5 linked regions of the Mus musculus genome follow. The protein of the gene in region 1 purifies or fractionates together with the protein of each later gene. This does not show direct contact. Links are inferred from orthologs where the notes say so. Each region holds a gene or a part of one and is shown on either strand. Other genes may lie near its edges. The genes, in order: Polr3d, Polr3b, Polr3h, Polr2f and Polr3gl.

What was found.
Region 2: the proteins of Polr3d (region 1) and Polr3b purify together in Homo sapiens (affinity purification with mass spectrometry; 8 studies listed by BioGRID and IntAct, counting the BioPlex papers as one, with this or other methods). This does not show direct contact. The link is inferred for Mus musculus from reciprocal best matches to the Homo sapiens genes POLR3D and POLR3B.
Region 3: the proteins of Polr3d (region 1) and Polr3h purify together in Homo sapiens (affinity purification with mass spectrometry; 6 studies listed by BioGRID and IntAct, counting the BioPlex papers as one, with this or other methods). This does not show direct contact. The link is inferred for Mus musculus from reciprocal best matches to the Homo sapiens genes POLR3D and POLR3H.
Region 4: the proteins of Polr3d (region 1) and Polr2f purify together in Homo sapiens (affinity purification with mass spectrometry; 5 studies listed by BioGRID and IntAct, with this or other methods). This does not show direct contact. The link is inferred for Mus musculus from reciprocal best matches to the Homo sapiens genes POLR3D and POLR2F.
Region 5: the proteins of Polr3d (region 1) and Polr3gl purify together in Homo sapiens (co-immunoprecipitation; 4 studies listed by BioGRID and IntAct, counting the BioPlex papers as one, with this or other methods). This does not show direct contact. The link is inferred for Mus musculus from reciprocal best matches to the Homo sapiens genes POLR3D and POLR3GL.

What each region holds. Positions count from the first base shown.
Region 1 is NC_000080.6:70,440,373-70,444,767, reverse strand, and holds the start of Polr3d (DNA-directed RNA polymerase III subunit RPC4), read left to right. Parts: upstream 1-1,296; 5' UTR 1,297-1,435; intron 1,436-1,540; exon of another isoform or gene 1,541-1,647; 5' UTR 1,648-1,652; coding exon 1,653-1,817; intron 1,818-2,372; coding exon 2,373-2,416; intron 2,417-3,312; coding exon 3,313-3,464; intron 3,465-3,604; exon of another isoform or gene 3,605-3,606; coding exon 3,607-3,731; intron 3,732-4,000; coding exon 4,001-4,169; intron 4,170-4,395. UniProt on the Homo sapiens protein: DNA-dependent RNA polymerase catalyzes the transcription of DNA into RNA using the four ribonucleoside triphosphates as substrates.
Region 2 is NC_000076.6:84,625,130-84,628,963, forward strand, and holds part of Polr3b (DNA-directed RNA polymerase III subunit RPC2), read left to right. Parts: intron 1-3,120; coding exon 3,121-3,153; intron 3,154-3,353; coding exon 3,354-3,410; intron 3,411-3,497; coding exon 3,498-3,562; intron 3,563-3,834. UniProt on the Homo sapiens protein: Catalytic core component of RNA polymerase III (Pol III), a DNA-dependent RNA polymerase which synthesizes small non-coding RNAs using the four ribonucleoside triphosphates as substrates.
Region 3 is NC_000081.6:81,923,295-81,927,699, forward strand, and holds the start of Polr3h (DNA-directed RNA polymerase III subunit RPC8), read right to left. Parts: upstream 2,920-4,405; 5' UTR 2,603-2,919; coding exon 2,492-2,602; intron 1-2,491.
Region 4 is NC_000081.6:79,139,916-79,144,354, forward strand, and holds the start of Polr2f (DNA-directed RNA polymerases I, II, and III subunit RPABC2), read left to right. Parts: upstream 1-1,409; 5' UTR 1,410-1,499; coding exon 1,500-1,519; intron 1,520-4,439. Other genes in the region: 1700088E04Rik (UPF0193 protein EVG1 homolog), read right to left, coding at 966-1,068. UniProt on the Homo sapiens protein: DNA-dependent RNA polymerase catalyzes the transcription of DNA into RNA using the four ribonucleoside triphosphates as substrates.
Region 5 is NC_000069.6:96,580,496-96,584,234, reverse strand, and holds part of Polr3gl (DNA-directed RNA polymerase III subunit RPC7-like), read left to right. Parts: intron 1-1,664; exon of another isoform or gene 1,665-1,979; 5' UTR 1,980-2,021; coding exon 2,022-2,147; intron 2,148-2,461; coding exon 2,462-2,591; intron 2,592-3,331; coding exon 3,332-3,400; intron 3,401-3,728; coding exon 3,729-3,739. UniProt on the Homo sapiens protein: DNA-dependent RNA polymerase catalyzes the transcription of DNA into RNA using the four ribonucleoside triphosphates as substrates. Specific peripheric component of RNA polymerase III which synthesizes small RNAs, such as 5S rRNA and tRNAs.

The sequences.
Region 1 (4,395 bases):
TTTTCGAGACAGGGTTTCTCTGTGTAGCCCTGGCTGTCCTGGAACTCATTCTGTAGACCAGGCTGGCCTCAAACTCAGAAATCCACCTGCCTCTGCCTCCCAAGTGCTGGGATTAAAGGCGTGTGCCACCACTGCCCAGCAAAGTATACTTTTAATATGTACATTTTCTGAAACTCTTTCCTAGGGATATAATCTACAAGAAAGCAAAAAAGTTGGATGTATCAAATGTACACTAGCTATTTCTAACAACATACCTATTTAAAGTAAGTGCCCCATTAAGGAAACAAGTTACGATATATACATATAAATATGCACATATATATCCTCCCATTGGTCATTTGTCTCCGACAAAGAATACACTATTGTGTGGCACAATATTACAGTACATCAAAAATATTTTAATGCTAGCAGCCTATGGAATTCCAGCAGAAATAGGTTCCTTCCCTAGAATTACATAACCTTTTTATTTGTATTGGGGTCGCTGTAGTGTAACATTAAATGACTCCCCCCCCCCCAGATTAGATTGCAACCACACATTACAATAAAAAAATTTTTCAGCTGGGATTGGTGGTGTACATCTGTAATCCCTACAACTGAGGGATGAGTGAAGAGACTGGACTGCTGCAAATTCGAGGCCAGCCTGGTCTACTTAAGTTCCAGACTAGATAGGGTTACAGAGCAGGGTTGTCTTAAAAATACCCACACCTCCCAACCAAAAATCAAAAAACAAAAACCCTTCCAGTTGAAGAGCAAACTTCAGTTCCAAAGGCTTCCCAGATTTGACTAAGCAGTCATGGGCCCAGGTAGATGAGAAGAGCTATTGGCTGCTCTGTCCAAACTGCGTTAAGGGTGACACCCCAAGACCCCAGGGACCGGCAAGGGAAGGCGCACGCGAGCAAAGGGTCGAGCCCGAAGGTGCAATGACCACGCCAAGGTCAACGCAGGGAGGCTGCAGCCAGCCACGGCCTGAGGGCTCTAAGCTCCCTATGTCCGGAGCCCCATCCCGAGCGGCGACCCCACTGCTCCCAGAGGCTGCGCAGTGTGGACTCCACATACAGCAGGTAGGCGACCTTGGAGCCCCTCCACCTCCGACCCCGAGGACCGCACCTCTACTCCCTGCCAGGGGCCGAGACACGCCCCCACGAGTCACACCCCGGCACAGCTTACAGTCCACCTCCCACATCCTTTTTCGCCCTCTCAACCCAGCTTTTCCCGACTCCGGGAAGAACCGGGAAGAGAAGGCGGAGGGCGGCGAGGCACCGTCGGATAAATACTATGGTCAGGTCACGCCCCCTTGATGTCACTTCCGCCCCAGGGTAAGATGGCAGCGCCCGGTCCTTGCCACGCAGACTTCCGCCTTGCCCGGAGACCCGCGGCCCGTGGTTGCTCTAGTCGGAGGTGAGGTTGTGATACTCGGCGCAGAGCCTCCACGCAGGTGCGTCACGAAGTCCCCAGGGAAAGGGCAGGTGACGGAGTCCAAAGCTAGGGGTGGGGCGCTCCGGGAAGCCTCGCCACGTGGGACGGGGAGGAGCTGAGCTGCAGCGAGAGCGACGCACGGGCGGGGGGCGGGAGGCCACGTGGGTGCGGTTCCGCCCAGGGTCCTCGCGTCCAGCCCTTGGAGTCACTTTGTTGCCTACTTTCTTCTAGGAACCATGTCGGAAGGAAACGCGGCGGGCGAGCCCAGCAATCCTGGAGGGCCGCGACCCCTTCTCTCTGGGGGCCGGGGGCTGATCGGCCGGCGGCCCGCACCCCCGCTTACGCCCGGTCGCCTTCCCTCCATCCGCTCCCGGGACCTCACCCTTGGCGGAGTCAAGAAGGTACCTGCGAGCGCGTTTGTATAGAAACCCACCCAGGCCGTAGGGAGGCGACTCGTGATGTTCATTCATGTGCTGCCTTGGGCCCCTGGTGGGATGTCAGCCTTTAGAGAGACCTGCAAACCTAGGTGCTGGTACAGGACACTGACAGGGTCTCCTAGGCAATTAAAAGACAGTGAATCTAGTTGATTCAAGACATCCGGAAGTGCTTATTATGTTCTGGGCTCCTTACAAAATCCCTTGAAAGCCAGACAAAATTGCTTTACTTGCAATTTCGAGTGTTCATAACTCTGTGGATGTCAGTATTGAAAACTAATAATCTAGTAAGTGATGAATCTTAGGCATGCCGGTAACTGCTCTTTGTCCCCTCCTGTTATGTGTGTAACAGTAGATGTAACTGTACCGAGTAGCTCTGAAAAGGAATAGCAAACACAGGATAAAGCATTTTAGCTTTGCCTTGGGGGCTACTGGTGATAGTCTACCTGTCTCTCTAAGCCATCCCAGGACTGTTGGTCAGTTGAGCACATCGAAAATACAGTACTGTGTTTTACTTTTCAGAAAACCTTCACCCCAAATATCATCAGTCGGAAGATCAAAGAAGAGTAAGTAATGAATGAACAGTACTCACCCCGGTTAGCTCTGAATTTGGGGACGTAATTAGGTTGTGTGGCCTAGAGATTTTAACTTACGCTATTAGCTTATTCACCAGTGGTTCTCATCCTTCAATCCTGGGTTATATAGGGGCATGTTTCTTTTTGAGACAGTGCCTCGCTACATGGCCTTGCATGTCCTGGAACTCACTTATGTAGGTTGCTGGCCTAGAACTCCCAGAGATGTGCTTGCCTCTCAGACCTGTGTCCTGAGTGCTGGGATTAAGATGTACACCTCCACGCTTAGCTCCAGGGCACTTTGCATTAGAGGGTCTTTTTGGTTTTTGTTTTGTTTTGTTTTTTTTCTGTAATAAATAGCTGAGATAATTGGCTTACAGAGAGGGACATTTTGTTTTGGAGATTTTAGTCCACGATCAATCAGGTGGTTCTTGCTTTTGGGTTCATGGTATGGCAATGAATGCAGTCGGAATACCCAAGGGAAGAAAGAAATTAAGGAGAGGAAAGGGCTGAGTTTCTATTCTCCTTTAGGAGCTGGGTAACCACCCAGTAGGCTCCATCTCTTATAGTTTCAGCTACCTTCTGTTTCTGCCGAGGTGGGGCTGAACTCTCCAACTTTGCCTTAAGGTCCTCTGCTCTCCAGCCTTTCTACTTTTAGAGGGTTAAAAAACCAACAAACAAAACAAAAGGCCCACATTTTGACAAGACGGTAAAGTAGAAGGAAATTAAAGGCCGTGCTTTATGGGAGATGTCAAAGGTATAGCGAAGGGTTGGGTGCCGATTCTCGTAGTGTACTTACTGGCTCACAAGCTCTGCTCAGCGGGCTGAAAGGGGCAAGCGAGGAGGCTCCATTTCCTGAGGCAGACCCTTTTGTCTGTCCTCATTCCCAGGCCAAAAGAAGAAGTGACTATGAAGAAGGAAAAGCGTGAACGGGACAGGGACCGCCAGCGTGAGGGTCACGGACGGGGACGTGGCCGCCCGGAAGTGATCCAGTCCCATTCTATCTTCGAGCAGGGTCCGGCAGAAATGATGAAAAAAAAAGGTACCAGGAAGGGACCTGGTCTGGGTTGCAGTTCAGACTGCCTGAGAAGGCAGAGCGTGGGAGTCTCCATTCCAAGTTGGGCTCTCCTCGCTGTGGGCAGTCTTCCTTATTGAACCCTAGTGGACAGCATGATTTCCCGCAGGGAACTGGGATAAGACCGTGGACATGTCCGACATGGGACCTTCTCATATCATCAACATCAAAAAAGAGAAGAGAGAAACAGACGAAGAGACCAAGCAGATCCTGCGCATGCTGGAGAAGGATGACGTAGGTGCCAGGAGCCTGGGGGACAGGTTCTTTTGTAGCTGCTAAAGAGGGTTTTGAGGGAGCCAGGCCAGGGACATGTTCAAGCTTTTGGTTACAGGAGCACTAAAGAGGGGCTGGGGGTGCAGCTCAGTGGAGAGCGAGCTTGCCTCTGTGTGAGACGTACACATATGCAAAGAAAAGAGAGAGACACAAGTCCCGAAACGGGCTGTGATGTAAGCACACGTGCTGACATTTCATGTGACCCCCCCCCCCCTCCAACTCTTTGGCAGTTCATCGATGACCCGGGGCTAAAGAATGACACACGGAACATGCCAGTGCAGCTGCCTCTGGCTCATTCAGGGTGGCTTTTTAAGGAGGAGAGTGAAGAGCCAGAGGCTAAGCCTTTTTCGGCTGGCCCCAAGGAAGAAGATATGGAGGTGGACGTGCCTGCCGTCAAAGGTAACGTGCATGCGTGCGTCAGCTGACTTCCCTTCTTCCCTAGCTCTCCCAGAAGCCCTCAGCAGTGTCTCCTTCCCCTTCCCACTCAAAAGTACAGGCACGGAATCAAGACATAAGTTTCTGCCTCAGACCGCACGTCTGTGTGCCAGTATGCCCGGCCTCAGAGAAGGCACTCTTGAATTTCTTTGCTGTTCCTCTACGTAACTTCTGGCTCAGCAACAGCGGA
Region 2 (3,834 bases), on another chromosome or scaffold:
CAACAAAAACCATGTTGATGACTTTAGATTTTCTCCTATGTCTCAGTCAGTGTTCTGTCTGAGACACCCTGATCAAGGCAACTCTTAAAATAGAAAGCTTTTAATTAGGGCTGGCTTACAATTTCAGAGGTTAGTCCATTGTCTTTGTATCAGGAATGGTATGCATGGGGCTGAAAAAGTAGTTGAAAGCTTTGTATCCTGATCTGTATGCAGGCAGAGGGAGGGAGAGACAGAGACAGACTGGGCCTGGCATGGGCTTTTGCAACGTCAAAACCCATCCACAGTGACACATTTCCTCCAACAAGGCCACACTTCCAAACCCTTCCAATCCTTTCAGAGAGTTCTACTCCCCGGTAACTAAGCATTCAAATTCATGAGCTTCTGGGTCCACTCTTACTCAAACCAGCACACCCTAAGTGCAATGGGCAATATATTCCTAAACTTAAGCTATTTCCTGGAATGGTGATAATGTTTAGAATTCCACTACCAACTCTTAGGCTTTTTCTCTATTGCCATCCTTGCAGTCCTTCACCAACCTTGTGTCATTTGTGCATTTTCTCACCTCACGGAGACAGTGCTTTATGTAGCCCAGGCTAGATTGGAATTGCTATAGCTGAGGCTGATTCTGAAGTGATTGTGCTTCTGCCTCTTAATTGCTAGGGTTATAGGCCTGGGCCACCACAGCTGGCTAAAACGTTGAACAGTTGTGAGAACAAACCAATAGAGAAGGTTTCTGAGTACACAGCCAAGAGTTGGGGGGATTAAGCAAGGGAAGGTCTGACTTTCTACAGGAGAATAAAAAGTCTGTGTCTGTGGCCGGCAGTGAGTTCTCCACAAAGACTGTATACTCACCCCTCTTGTCTGTGAGATAAGAGGAATTTCACTGTGCACGGAGGGGAAATTTTGAAATATGGGAGCAAGAAATTGAAAAGCTAGATTAGTATGTCAGATGGCTGTAACAAAGTACTACAGCTTGATAGTGTAAGAAAACCAGATGTTTCATTCCCCACATTTCTGAAGACTGGAAATCCAAGACAAAGCTTACAGAAGAGCCTGAGAAAGATTCCAGTGCGTGCCTCCTCCCTAGAGTCTGCTGGCTTTTGACAGTCTCTGATGTATCATTGGCTTACAGAAACATCACACTGACATTTGTCTTCATCTTCACCTGACAGTGTCCCTGAATGTATCTGTCCAGATCCCCTTTTGTTATATGGGCACCAGCCATATTGAGTTAGAGCTTACCTACTGAAATCTTCTACAGTCCTTTAGGCCAGGCCACCTGGAAGCCAGTGTAGGAATTTAATTCAGCTTTTAATTTTGGTCTTCCTCCTCTTTTTCTGCTTAACATGAACATAGTATTGCACAGATACTGAGTATTGCTTGCCTTGGCTTTGATAGTTGCAGATAACCAAACAACTATTACCCAATATATGCTCTAGAACACTTCCACCACCCCAAAAAGTTCTCTTATAGCCTTTCCAGCTTCTTCCTATCCGCCCCCCCCCCCAAAACACTCTTGTTTTCTATTATCAGAGACTGGCTTGCCTGTTTTCTAGGCCTCCCCACATCCTCATTTCTAGATGTTAGAAATATTCTCTCTCTCTCTCTCTCTCTCTCTCTCTCTCTCTCTCTCTCTCTCTCTCTCTCTCAGATTTCACTATGTAACAATGGGTGTCATGGAACTCACCCTGTAGACCAGGCTGGCCTTGAACTCCCAAGTGCTGGGGATTAAAGGTGTGTGCCATTACGTTCAGCTTTTCTCATTTTGTGCAACTCATTTTCCCTTGCTCCTGGGCCATCTCCCTGTCCCTTAGCTTTCATAACTTCTCCATAATTTATACCCCAGGCCACTGTGTTTCTAAGTTCTAGACATCTACTGCCCATCAGACATTTCTACCTGAATGTCTAATTAGTATCTCAGACTAAACATGCACCAACCAAATTCCTAACACCTCAACCCCTGAAAGCCTGCTGCTCCTACATGGCCCCATCCTCTCATTTCTGTCAGTGTTGGCTCTGTGCCTCTGCCGTCTTAGACCAGACACTCTGATGTCAATTTTAACTTCACTTTTCTCTAGGGAACCATCCAGTCTGTTGTCATTTTACAAGCTTTGCTCCAGCTTGTGTCTGCTAGCTACACAACTTCTCACTTCCTACCTGTACTGTTACTAGTGTGGGCTACTTCGATTGACTAAGTGATTGTCCTGTTTCCAGCCTTGCCCATTTCCACCCAGCATCCAGAGCGATCCAGTTAATAGGCATGGAGCTATTATGCCATCCTCCACTCAGAGCTTCCCAGTGCCACTCAGGTCTCTTAAGTTAAAGCCAGTTTTTGTTTTGTTTTGTTTTGTTTAGCTTATTTATTTTATGTATGAGTACTCTGTCTGCATATACACCTGCATGCCAGAAGAAGACATCAGAAGTTGGTTGTGAGCCACCATGTGATCGTTGGGAATTGAACTCAGGTCCTCTGGAAGAACATCTTAACCCCTCCTAGCCACTGTGCCATCTTTCTAGTCCCTAAAGCCATTTTTTAAATGTTTGCCACAAAGCCGTGAGTTGTCCATAGATCTTTCCTTAGGAACTGAGTATTCTGACTTTACACTCCGCTGTACCCAGCTGTCAGGACTCCCTTAGCAGATGGGGTAAGTGAAAAGAGGCTGTCTCTGTATGTAGTAGTCTACAAGACACCCAAAACTCAAGAGGCATGGGAGTTAGCAGTCTATTAGTGGAGGAGCAAACACCCATGTGTGCTGACCCCCAGAAGCCTTGAGGTAGTTTGAGGCTCTGGTTTAGAAAGAGCTCTGATTGTTCCCACCAGACTCAAGACTAACTTCTCTTTTCAAATTTTGAGCCTCACTTAGGATGTGCCATAAGAATAAATTTGAAACTGGTTTGAAATCTTGTCATCCAGAAGAGGTTTTATTATATTTAGGGAAACCTGTGATATATGTGTGTCTGTGCATGTGCACCATATAAACATGGTGTTTGCAGTAGCAATTATAACATTTTCCCTGTTTGTTTTCTGCACACTGTGATAAACGTGGTACCCCACAGCAATTGTGTTTTGTGGTTACTGACAGAGGTTCTCATGGTCTTATTGTTTCCTTATCTTCACAGGAAAAATGGAGGCTGCTTCCAGCATTTTTAAAGGTAATTGTATGCTATTTAATAATAATTGGTTATTTTTCATGAGATAAGTCACTAGATTATCCTTTAAATTTTTTTCTTAACTAAGTACATCTATTAATCTTGCCCTTGCTTGTATTTGAGAAACACTAATGGTTACCTGCCCCAGAGTGACTCATGCACCCTGTTTCTTTGTTACCATCTTTTGTTTTTTCTCTGCTTAGGTTAAAGGCCTGGTGAAACAGCACATAGACTCCTTTAACTATTTCATTAATGTAGAGGTAAGCATCCAGGATTAAGGCCAGATGTAAATTGAGGGCCAAGTGGAAGCAAGAGCTCTGTTCCTAATTCTGCACTTTCTACTGCAGATAAAGAAGATAATGAAAGCCAATGAAAAGGTTACAAGTGATGCTGACCCCATGTGGTACTTAAAGTAAGAAACCAACTGCTCTTAAATAATATTCCCATTGTTTTTAAATACCGAAGTAAATGTACTTGCTGTCAAATCTCTTGTAATACCACTACTGTATCTGTCTAGTAAACTAATTGTAAAGTGCTTATATTTAACTTTTACTTGTAAATCATTTGTAAGAGTTTTAATTGAGAAGTTACTAAAACTGGTTTTTTAAAAAATTCTTTTAAGTAAGGCTTTCTTTTGATGAGTTTTATATATAATTAATAATGATAAAACCCATTCAGGATTTT
Region 3 (4,405 bases), on another chromosome or scaffold:
CACACAGCTTGGTGTTAACACACCCTGGTGTTCTAAATGACTTGGCTCAGTGTCTACATGTCTACCACCAATATTACCCCTAGCCACAGCCCTCACAAGAGCTGCTCAGGGACTAGAGCACTTCAGAGCTGGGGCAGAGCTCCCAGCAGTCGTCATCTGTGGAGGTTTCTCTCTCAGGATCCAGTGAACTGACCTCACCCGGGCATGGTGATCTCTGCCTGTAATCCCTGCAGCTGAGAGGGGGAGGCAGGGGTATCCGAAGTCCAAAGCCATCTTTGGTTACACAGTGGATGTAAAGTGAATTCAAGTCCCATGAGATGTGGGGAGATGGTATTGGCAAAATGGTTCAGCAGTCAAGGTAGATCCCAGGACCCCTTTCTCCTTATGAGCTGTGCCGTGGCCTATTCATGTGTGCTGTGGTATATACACCCACATTCAAAATAAATCCATGTAATGAAAGAAAGAAAAAAAGAAAGACAAGACAGACAGACAGACACAGACAGACAGACCTGGATGTCATGGCTGACTAAGTGTGACCTCCACAGGCCCATAAATGTGAATGCTTAAGTCATCGGAGAGGGACACAACTTGAGAAAGATTAGAAAGAAGGTATGGCCTTCTTGTGTCAGTGGGAGTGGGCTTTAAGGTTTCACAGACCCACAGCAGGCGAGCGTTACTCCCTTGGCAGTGGAGGACATAGCTCTCAGATCCTACTCCAACACCACGTGTGCCAGCACGCTTCCACCACAATGCTGAAGGACAACCTCCGCAACAGTAAGCCCCCAGTAAAATGCTTTCTCTTGTCACCTTGCTCATGGTATTTCCTCACAGCACTAGTGCAGCAACTAAGACTGGGTGTGACACGCACCTTCAATCCTAGCACCTGGGTGGCAGAGGCAGATGGTTCTCTGGGATTGGAAGGGCAACGTAGACTATAGCAAGTTCCAGGCCAGCCAAGGCTACATAGTGAGATTGTCTCAAAAAAAATTAAAGGATTGTCAGTGAGCTCTCTCCTCCTCCATGTGACAAGCCTCAGATCTGTGTGTGTACCTTCTCCTAGGGCCTCAGTCTCCTATAAGGGACTACCTGTCTCCTGTAAAAGCCAAACTCGCTCTTTCTTTCTGGCTCTCTGAAGATCACATCCTACCGACCCGTAAAGAACAGCTTGGACTATAAGGCCCTCCAGGGCTCTGTGGTCTGGCTTCCGTCTACATTTCCGTTCCAGCTACACCAGCATTCTGTGCCTCTCCTGCCTCAGGACCTTTGCACATGCTAAATGCACTGCCTCCACAGCTCTACACCCAACCTACTCCAACCATCGAAACAGAGTCTCTCTACTTTGCTACATCCATTCCAGTAGTGACCCGCTTGACAGGCCCAAAAGCCTGGACACAGTCCCAAAGTGAAAAGTTCACAGAAAGGCCTGTCCGAGGCATTACTTGGTGTCTTCCCACCATCAGCTCTCAGAGCAATGGCTGTTTCCTCAGAAGTCACCCATCTCTTTCATCCCGGGTGACACTCCCCTGTTCCCCACTCTGTGAATGCCTGTCCTTCATGGCATTTACCCCAGCTCATTACAACAAGACATTCTCAAGCCAACTTCTTCTCACTAGGCTACAAGGGCAGAGCCTGTGTCTCCCATTGGAGAGAGTGAAAGTCCGAGAAGGCCCCTGTAGTCATAGAAAGGGAAACACAGTAACCAAATGAATACAAGAAAGGGGCTACTGAGCTGGCTCAGCCGGTACAGCTGCCTCCCTCTAAAGCTGAAAGCTGAGTTCAATTCTAGAGACCCGCACGCTTATCCTCTCACCTCTACTCTCACACTGTGGGCAACACAGATAACACAAACCGAGGCCCAGAGAGGGTGACTTGGCCAAGACAACACAGTAATTGAACGAGGAAACAGGCATATTCCAGTTTCTGTTTTACAAACCCATTTTGTACACACGCTCTCTCCGTTTTGTTTTCTGGCAATCCTGAGAACCGAACCAGTGACTCCGCGAATGTCAAGCAAATTCAAGCACTGTTCAGCATCCTGATGCTTTTTGTTTCTTTTGAGGCAGGGTTTCTCCGTTGTAGCCTTGGCTGTTCTAGCACTCCCTCTGTAGACCAGGCTGGCCTCGAATTCACAGAAATCCGCCTGCTTCTGCCTCCTGAGTTATGGGATTAAAGGCATGCGCTACCGCCAGCAGCTTCGGTGCTTTTAATTTGTCTGAGTCAAGGGCTAACTATATTGCCCACGCTGGCCTCGAACACAGGATCGTCAAAAAGCCTCAATAGCCAAGAAGCTCGGATTACGGGTGTGCACTACCTCGCCCGGCCCATTTACTCCCTTGTGTACACGTTGTCACCCAAGTCTGGTTTATAAGGATGCGAAGGAAAAAAACCCCGACATGAAGTTAAGTGTGCAAGGCCAAGGGTGAACCAGGCGATAGCCAGACTAGCAGTGGGACCGGTAGGGACACTGCCGGGCAGCCCGAGGGCCCAGTACCTTGTTGGCCAATTTCTTGTTCAGCTCCTCAGCAATGGAATCGTTGAGTTTCCGCTCAAACTGCCACGGGGGTATGCGCACGGTGTCCACCATCTCCACCAGCACGAACATCCTGCGCTAGGGCTCTGGAGACCGGAGAGGCTGCCAAGCACGGGGGCCTGCGAGCTGTGATGGGGTGGGGGGGACCCGAGCCTCCTCCGTCCCTTCTCAGCCTCTGACAAGCCAAACCTGCAGCCGAGCTGCGCGGGAGGGCCTGGGCTCCAATTCTGGAAGCTACGCTCGTCTCCCGGAGGAAACTGAGGCCCGCTCCCGCCAGCCTTGGAGGAGCGCCGGCTCCCCGTCCCCGGATGCCACCCTGGCCTCGTTCCGTCCGCACCACGCGCGGGAGCCACGCGCGTCCAGCAACGCTGCGCTTGCCAAACCAAATCAACTCAGCTTCCGGAAAACTGACCAATAAGAAGCATCTGCCCGCCCCTGCGGGTCGCAGAGCTTCGCGAGGCTCCCGTGAGGGGCGGGGCCGGAAGGTGGGCGGGGCCGCCAGCACTCTCCCGCAAGTGAGAGAAGAGGGGCGGGGTAGAGTGCCGAAAGGGCGGGGCCCCATCCTGAAGCAAGCCAACCCCGGGCCCCTGAGAGAGTCTGGTTGCTAGGCGACAAGTCTGCACTTCAAGCCTGATTGTCTTTCTTTTGCACAACAGCCAGATAGACCCTTTGAAAATACAAATTTAACACGTTCAAAATAGTCTTTACTCCAGACAAAGTACCCAAGAGAGTGGGCAGAAAAGGGTCGCCGGGCCTTCCTGGATGATGTCATTTTAAGTGGTGCATTTGATGGATATGCTCACCAAAGCTCAGCACACAAAGCTTAAACAGCTGAAACAGACTCACGCTTGTAATACCAGCGCAAGAGAGGGTGAGGCTGGACAATCACTGCAAGTTCAAGACCAGCCTGAGTTACCAAATGAGATCCTGTGGCCGGGCAGTGCTGGCGCACGCCTTTAATCCCAGCATTTGGGAGGCAGAGGCAGGCGAATTTCTGAATTCGAGGCCAGCTTGGTCTACAGAGTGAGTTCCAGGACAGCCAGGGCTACACAGAAAAACTCTGTCTCGAAAAACCAAAAAGAAACAAAAAACAAAAAACACAGATCAGCTACATAGTGAATTCAAGTCTAGCCTGAGGTACAAAAGACTTTTTGTTTGTTTGAGACTCTTTCTAAAAAGAAAAAGGGGGGTGCCTAACAATGATGGTGACACACGTCTTTAATCCTAGCACTTGGGAGGCAGAGGCAAACGGATCTCAGAGTTTGAGGCCAGCCCAGTCTACAGAGCAAGTTTCTGGACAACCAGGACTGAACAGAATAATCCTGTCTCAAAAAAACAAAATAGAAAAATTTTCTTGCTGCACACTTTTAATCCCAGCAGTTGGGAGGGGCAGAGACTGTCAAATTTCTGAGAGTTAAGACAAACCTGGTCTACCAAGAGAGTACAAGATAGTCAAGGCTATACAGAACACACTCCCTCCCCCACCCAAAAAAAAAATGAGGAGAAAAAAAATAAGGCATTTTGGGCTGGGCGTTGATGGCACACACCTTTCATCCAAACAATTAGAATGCAGAGGCAGGAGGATCTCTCTGAATTCGAATTTGAGGCCAGCCTGGTCTACAAAGCAAGCTGCAGGACAGACAGGGCTACACAGAGAAACCCAGTCTCATAACACATGTAAGACAACAGTGTGCCTTTCTAGAAACAAAGTATTTCAGGGAATTGACAGGAGAGGTAAGAATTGATTAGCAATGATCTTCATAATATCAGTAAGTAACTTGTTTTACATTTCTATGTATATGAAGTGTTTTGCCTGCATCTGTGTGTGTGTGTGTGTGTGTGTGTGTGTGAGAGAGAGAGAGAGAGAGAGAGAGA
Region 4 (4,439 bases), on another chromosome or scaffold:
CGCGCGCGCGTGCGTGAGTGTGTAGCTATGCGTGTATGGCTGCCTGTGGAGGGCAGGGAAAGGCACTGACTCATAGGAAGCTAGAGTTACACATTGCTTTGACCCACCTGATATGGTTGTGGGGGATTGAACTTGGGTCCTTGAGAATAGCCAGTGCTCTTAATCTCTGAGCCATCTTTCCAGTCCTTATTTTATTTCAAGGATAGGTTCTTACTATATTATCTAGGCTAGCTTTTCTTGGGCTCAGGCAATCCTCCCATTACATATGCCTAAGACACACACACTTTTTTGGTGACTGGCTAACATGGGTGCTGGGGAATGAGCTTTCAAAGGGCAGTACATGTTCCTAACCACTGAGCCAGCTCTCCAACTGTAACACACACAGACTTTTTTGTGTATGGTGTGCTGGGGCTGAAACCCAGACTCCACATCTGCCTAGAATATACTCTGTCACTGAGCAACACCTTCAGCTCTATAATTTTCTCCTGTTCATTTTTCTTGTTACCCTCCTGTGTTATCAGTTTTCTGAGAGCAAGAGTTGTCCTTTGCAATCCTCTCAACACTCTATTCCTAGTACCTAGGACAATATCCAAATCACACATTAGGTTTTTGTCGTTGAATAATTAAGTGCATACATGCTCATTCATGTAGCAGAGGCTGGAGCTACAGTTGTGAGCAGAAACAGGCACGTTTCTTTGCCTGGTGGTGTTCACCATTTAGAAGGTGACACTAAACACCTCTAAGACTGTATAATGTCTAAGCCTGGTGAAGGGAATTGAATTTGGTACTGTGAAGGTCCCACTGCAGTGAGGAGATAGGCTTCATTGAAAGTGCATGTAAAAGATGAACTAACCATTCCAAAATTCTCCATCTCTGGTCTTTGATTCTTCCCCGAACCTTTCAGAATCCCAAGCTCTTAAGGAAAAACCGCACCGCTCGGGTCGTTGATCCCCTAATGCACTGACCTCTGAGCAGCTCACAAGTCCCCGGCGTGTAACCTGCTTGCTTACGGCAGCGGCGGAACCCGGTTCCTTTGGTCACCGAGTCCACCCTTTCCTGGGAAGCCATGGGAGGGCCCTAGGAGGGAGAGAAGCAATGACTCGCCCTAGTTACGCTTCGCAATCCGGACCTCTCATCACGAGCAACCTGGGAGTCTGAGAAGCTGGTGCCCGACCCCTCGGCTCCGGACAGCGCAGTGACCACAGTCCCTATCGTGACGGTCCGGGGAGGAGCGCTCACCTTAGGCGATGACCTGGGCGTGACAGAGCCCTCCGCACGGAGAAACTCCAAGGAGCTAGAGTGTCAGCGTCCTCACTAATCGCTCCTTGTTACCATGGTAACTAGCGACACGCCTCCACGCACGCGCATTAGCGTCTGGTCGGCCGCTGCTTCCCGGAAGTAACTGCGCCTGGGTCACGGCGCAAGCGCAAACTACGCGTGGTGCGGCGAGGGGCAAAGGCGCGCGTTCTCTGCTCTGCGCCCCGGGCGGAGAAGGCATCATGTCAGACAACGAGGACAAGTGAGCACGGGCCACGGAAGGAGGGAGGTCGTGGTGCGAGCAGGGCTCTTGGAGCACAGGCTAGCCCAGCTGCTGGGTTGGTGGGGCGAAGTCTTCAGAACTTCCTACCTCGCGGAGCAATGGGGACAGTGGTCAGAGAGTTCAGTCCGTGTGGCCCCTGTCCTCTGAGCGCTCTCTTTCTGGAAGGGAATGCCAGAGGTGTGTAGCTTGTGTAGTCGTGGAAGTAGGAAGGAAAAAGCAACCCAGAGAATGGCCTGGAAGGCTGGGAGCAGACGCGGGCTTGGGCTAGGTGTGATAGTAGCAGAGGTGGCAGAAGTGGGGATAGACTCTAGAGAGCATGAAGTTTAGTGTTGTTTGAGGCAAGGCCTCACTCTGAAACCCAGGCTGCCCGGGAATTCACTATATAGCTAAGGCTGGCTTTGAATTCGACACAGTCCTCTGCTTCAGCTTCCCAAGTGTTGATATATCTGGCATGAACCACCAGACCCAGCTGGATTATGGACATTTTTTTTTTTTTTTTCCGAGACAGGGTTTCTCTGTATAGCCCAGGCTGTCCTGGAACTCACTTTTGTAGATCAGGCTGAACTCAGGAATTCACCCACCTCTGCCTCCCCAAGTGCTGGGATTAAAGGCGTGCGCCACCACCACCCGGCTGGACATATTTTTATTTTATTTATTTGGAGACCAAATATAACCTTATATCAGGTGGTTCGAACATAGAGATTCATCTACCTCTGCTTTCCAGGTGATTTTTGTTCTTTTTTTTTTTTTTTTTTCCTGAGACAGAGTCTTTCAACATAGTCCTAGCTGTGTCTGGAAGTCACTGTGTAGATTTGGCTGTCCTCAAACTTACAGAGATCTGCCTGCTTTCACCTCCTGAGCACTGGATTACAGGCGTGCGCCACCATGCCTGGATCCTGATATATTTTAAAGATAGAACCTAAAGGATTTCTTGATACGCTGTATATGTTAATCAAGAGAGAAGATGAACTATGGTAGTCCTGATAGATCAGTCAGAATTCAGAGTCTGGGCGTGGTGGTTCACACCTGTAATCCTAGCACTTGGGAGGCTACTGCAGGGGAATTGTCCTGAACTAGATGTCAACATAGTGAGTCTCAGGCCAGCCTGAGTTACATACTGTGCAGTAAGATTGACTTCAAAACAAGCATACAAAATACAGTCAAAAATGCAATGAAAGCAGAGATGACGGCGTTGACCAGGGCAGTGATTGCCACCAGAGAAGAGATGGTGAGTGAGTGACTTGGGGGGAAGAGAACCCAGAAAAGCATCCCCTCCCCCAGAGTGGGAGGCAGGAGGGAGGAGCCAGGTATGCTGGCTGTCCAGGGGAAGGGTTCAGCATTGTAAAGATCCTTAGTGAAGCTGGGGGTGGTGCAAGCCTTTGATTCCAGCACTCAGGGCAGAGACTTGGGGGGGGGGGGGGGAATCTCTCAGTTCCAGGCCAGCCTTGTCTGCAGAGTGAGTTCCAGGCCAGCCTTGTCTGCAGAGTGAGTTCCAGGACAGCCAGGCAGCACAAAGAGACACTTTTCTTTTTTTTTTTTTTTTTTTTTTTAAAGATTTATTTATTTATTACATGTAAGTACACTGTAGCTGTCTTCAGACACACCAGAAGAGGGCGTCAGATTTCGTTACAGATGGTTGTGAGCCACCATGTGGTTGCTGGGATTTGAACTCTGGACCTTTGGAAGAACAGTCGGGTGCTCTTACCCACTGAGCCATCTCACCAGCCCCTTTTTTTTTTAAAGATTTATTTATTTACTATATGTAAGTACACTGTAGTTGTCTTCAGATACACCAGAAGAGGGCACCAGATCTCATTACGGGTGGTTGTGAGCCACCATGTGGTTGCTGGGATTTGAACTTCAGACCTTCGGAAGAGCAGTCGGGTGCCCTTACCCACTGAGCCATCTCACCAGCCCAAAGAGACACTTTTCAATGGGGAGGTTGTGGGGTGCGATGATCAGTGAGCACAGGAAGGATGGCTGTGGAGCTTGAGGGTGTGGCGAAAGCCTTACTGAGGTGAGGCTCTGACTCGGGAAGTGAAGAATTGGAGACAGCGAGTTTGGGCAGCTCCCTCAGACATTGTGCACCACGGGAGGCTGATGAGATGGAGGAGGGGCTAAAGGTGAAAGTTTTGCTGCCCGAGCCTAACAACCTAGGTTTGATCCCTAGAGCCCCTGGTAGAAGGAGAGAACAGAAAAGGGAGTCTTGGTGGTGTATGTGGGCCTGTACGCGAGCACGCATCATGTGCACGTTAGCAATAAATAAGCATGTTTTTAGAAGCCTGGTGACCTTAGGCTATGAAAATGGCAATGTCACCTTGGTCTTATGTAGTTTTGTTTGTTTGTTTGTTTGTTTGTTTTCTCCACCATAAGGGAATATGGAATTAAGCTGTAGCAGGAGGGGAAAGAATAATGGTGTGTTGTTTGTTTGTTTTTAAGAGGGGGAGGTGATGCTGGTAGTGTGCTGGTGCTGTGAGTGCCAGCGGCTTCATGCATGCTGTCTACACACCCTACTTTTGAGTTACAGCTCCAGCCCTGAAGTACACTTCACTTGTTTTTGTTCTTGAGACAAAATCTCACTATGTAGCCCAGGCTGGGCTCAAACTCCTAGTTCTCTCACTTCCCATTTCCAAATGCTAGGAGTACAGGAGTGTGCTACCACCCTGGCACGTTTATATTTCTCTCCTTATGTCCTTATGAGAGGCTGAAACTGTCTTCATGACGAGGGGGATGGCGCAGAGGTTAACCACACTTGGCTGGTTTCCCAGGGAGTAAAACCAGGCAGACAACTCCGGCTTCGGGGGCTCCCACACCCTCTTCTGGCTTCCAGGCGCACTTGTATGTGTGTACATTTACATACACAAACACACAGATAAAATAAACCTTAAACACACAGTCC
Region 5 (3,739 bases), on another chromosome or scaffold:
CTCGTTGTCTGCTGCACAGTTAGTTTCAGGTCTACTGGGTTACTTGAGACCCCGAATCAACAAAACAAGAGCAGAAACAAATGTGTCAGTGCTCATTAAGAATACATATTGTCCAGAGTGAGTTCCAGGACAGCCAGGACTACAGAGAGAAAGCCTGTCTCAAAAACAAACAAACAAAGAAAACCCACTCCAATTGTCCTTGTGAGTCTCTGCTATTCATGCTGATGTTGGTCACTGGCTACACTGATGTCCCTTAGAAGGTACCCCTACACTCCAACTTGTCAAAAACACGAGGAACAAAATTCCCACTCTTATGAATCAGGAATTATGCTCCTTTGCTGTTACATGGACTGTCTACATGCTTTGTTTATGTTTTAGCTTCGGCTATCTACACGGTTTATTTAGAATTCTGCATGAGACATGTGTCTTTTCCTAGTCATTCATATTATGATGGACTCGTAGGCATTTACTTTGTACTTTGGGATTATAATCTAATATTAATTTATTTTATTTTGTTGGGAGCTGAAGTGATGGTTCTGTGACTGAGAGCACTGATTGCTCATCTAGGGGACCCAGGTTTGGTCCCAGCACCCACATACGGCTGCTAACAACCATCTGTAACTCCAGTCTCAGGAGAAACCGTGCCCTCTTCTGGTCTTCATGGGCACTGCATTCAAATGGTGTGTGTGTGTGTGTGTGTGTGTGTGTGTGTGTGTGTGTGTGTGTGTGCGCGCACTCTGCCTGCCTGTCTATCTTTTTGTCTGTCTGCCTGCAAAACACCCATACCCATAAAATAAAAATAAAGATCTCAAAAAATAAACAGATATGTCTGTTTTAATTATGGGTCTGTGTGTATCACTGTGTATACACATGAATTCAGGTGTCCATAAAGGCCAAAGGCACCGGACCCCCCTTCCTGGAGCTGGAGTTATAGTAAGCCCCCCATGTGAGTGATGGGAGTCAGAGTCGTGTCATCTGGAAGAGCAGTACCCCACCACTGAGACATCTCTCTAGCTGAATTGTTTTAGTACTTTAAAATATTATTTACTTTTACTTATTTGTATGTGTACCACTTATGTAAATGTGCATGGAGGCTGTGGCAGGCGTGGATTCTCCGGGAAGTAGAGTCACAGGCAGTGGGAACCACCTGATGTGAGCAGAGGAACCAGACCCAGGTCCTCTGCAAGAGCATGGGATACTTTTAACCACAGAGCCATCTCTCATGTTTTAAAACATATTTTAAAAGTGTGTGCATGTGAGTGCAGATGTCCATGGAGGCGAAATAAGGGTGTTAGATTCCCTGGAGCTGGGTTTACAGACGGTGTGAGACACCAGACACAAGTACTGGAACAAAACTCCATTCCTCTTCGAAAGCAATGCACATCTTAACCACTGAACAGTCTCTCCAGCTTTGTTTATCTTGAGACATGATCTTGCTATTTATCCCTCAGTGGCCTGGAACTCTATGTAGACCAGGCTAGCCTCAAACTGATAATCCTCTCGTCAAGTACAGGGCTCGGATTACAGGTTTGTGGTATCACTCCTAACTTAATGTTTTATTTATTTTTTAATTAATTAAGTAGTTATATTTTGTATTTATTTTGCTTGGTTTTTTTTTTTTTTTTTTTTTTTTTTTGAGACAGGTTTCTCTGCATAACCTTGGCTGTCCCAAAACTCATTCTGTAGACCAGGCTGGCCTCAAACTCAAAGTAATGCCTTCCTTTGCCTCTCAAGTGCTGAAACTAAAGGTGTGTCCCTCCACTGCCTGGCACATCAAATTTCTAACTGTCACAGAAAAAGGGATTGGAATGTAGCCCAAAGTAGAGTACTTGCCTAGCATGAGAAAAGCCCTGGGTTTGAACCGGGGCACAGAGGAAAACGTCACCTCCCATAGAACATCACATGATGTGCTGTGCGGCTTCTTGGCGTCATATCTCTTCTAGTACACTTCTTTATCTCTCTGTTTTTGTCTTTATTAGGTTTTTCTCACTGGATCTCTGCATATCCAGGCCCCCTCCACCATGGCCAGCCGGGGTGGGGGCCGGGGTCGTGGCCGGGGCCAGTTGACCTTCAACATGGAGGCTGTGGGCATTGGGAAGGGTGATGCTTTGCCCCCACCCACTCTCCAGCCCTCTCCACTCTTTCCTGTGAGTGTCTCCCTTCCCTTCCCAAGCCTCCCATGTGAGCCCCCACTGAGCCATATGAGCACAGAATCCTCCTGGCCCATCTCGAGCCATCTGCACCTTGATTCCGTCTATAGTCGCACCTGCCCCACGGGCGGTGTTTTCCCGGCAAGGAAGTGTTTATCTTCACTCTTCATACCGTCCACTCTCCAGCTCTCAGAATGCCCTCCTCCATCTTCTGGCCTTCCCAATCTTACTGAGAACACTGGATTTTACTTGGGGGAAAGGCCTTTTAAGGTTTTATTGCAGCGCTCCAGACTAACCACTGTACCCCTCAGCCCTTGGAGTTCCACCCAGTGCCTCTGCCGGCAGGAGAGGAGGGGGAGTATGTCCTGGCACTGAAGCAAGAGCTGCGCGGGGCCATGAGGCAGCTCCCCTACTTCATCCGGCCAGCCGTCCCCAAGAGAGGTCAGTAGAAAGCTAGCATAAGGATTCGGGCCTCCTTCTGTGGGCAGTGCCCATGCTAGCACGCTCAGGGCCAGAGAGGCTTAGAAGTTTCCTGTCTAATGGAAAGAGCATTAAATGTCCCTCTGTGTCTGAAATGTATCACCTTACTCGAGATTTTAATTGAACCTCAATCTTGGGGCTGGTGGGACATTAAAGCATCAGCATCTTAGTTCAAATAGGGGGGGTACAAATGAATTTCCAATTCATTAACTGGAGAGACCTTGATGCTGGGCCTCTGAGCACCCCACCTGTGCAAAGCTTTCACCTAGCGAGAGCAGGAGACTGGAGACGGCGGGCGGGGCTGCTGGCAGGCTTGGGAGAATGGTTACTTGCCCTCGGTGAGAAGTATTGACAGTTGATGCTTTTCTACTGAGCCCCTGGGAGCTGAGGGCTCAACACTGGAAGAAGACTTACCAAGCTAACCAGTTAGTGAGAGGGAGACAGAAGACTGAACCCTGGTTTTTATCCCAGGGTGTCCTGTCCAGTGAAGCTCACTGCTTCTCAGAAGAGGATTCTGGGCAAAGATAAGAATAGCAACAAGGCAGGCTGAAGGAGAGGCAAGGCTGACCCCAACTGACAGCTCTGGGCTCTGGGCTTAGAGTAAGGAGATTGATAGATAAGAGGGGCAGACCCTTAGGACAGATGTTCTAAGGTTAAAACTCTAACTCACGGGCTCTACCCCCCCCCCACCCGCCCCCCAGATGTGGAACGTTACTCAGACAAGTATCAGATGTCTGGGCCTATTGACAACGCCATCGATTGGAACCCTGGTAAGTGACTGGCCCCTCCTCTCCGAATGCCCTCCTTTCAGATTCTTTAGGTACCTCAAACTGTCACCTTCCTTTCCTGTACATCTAAATCTAGAGTCTTAGATGTGCTCTGCAACACTCTCGCGTTCTACGTGGAAACCCTATTTGTAACAACAGTGCCCACCTCTCCAGAAGCGTCAAACCTACAATTTTATTCTGAAAAATCTTCAAACCAACCCCCATTCCGTCCTTCCTTTTAAACACTCCCCTCCCCCTTAGCGCCAGCCATCACTCCCAGAAGCCTCCAGCCGGCCAGGGTCCTGCTGATTTTCACTCCCACTCTTCCCAGATTGGCGGCGA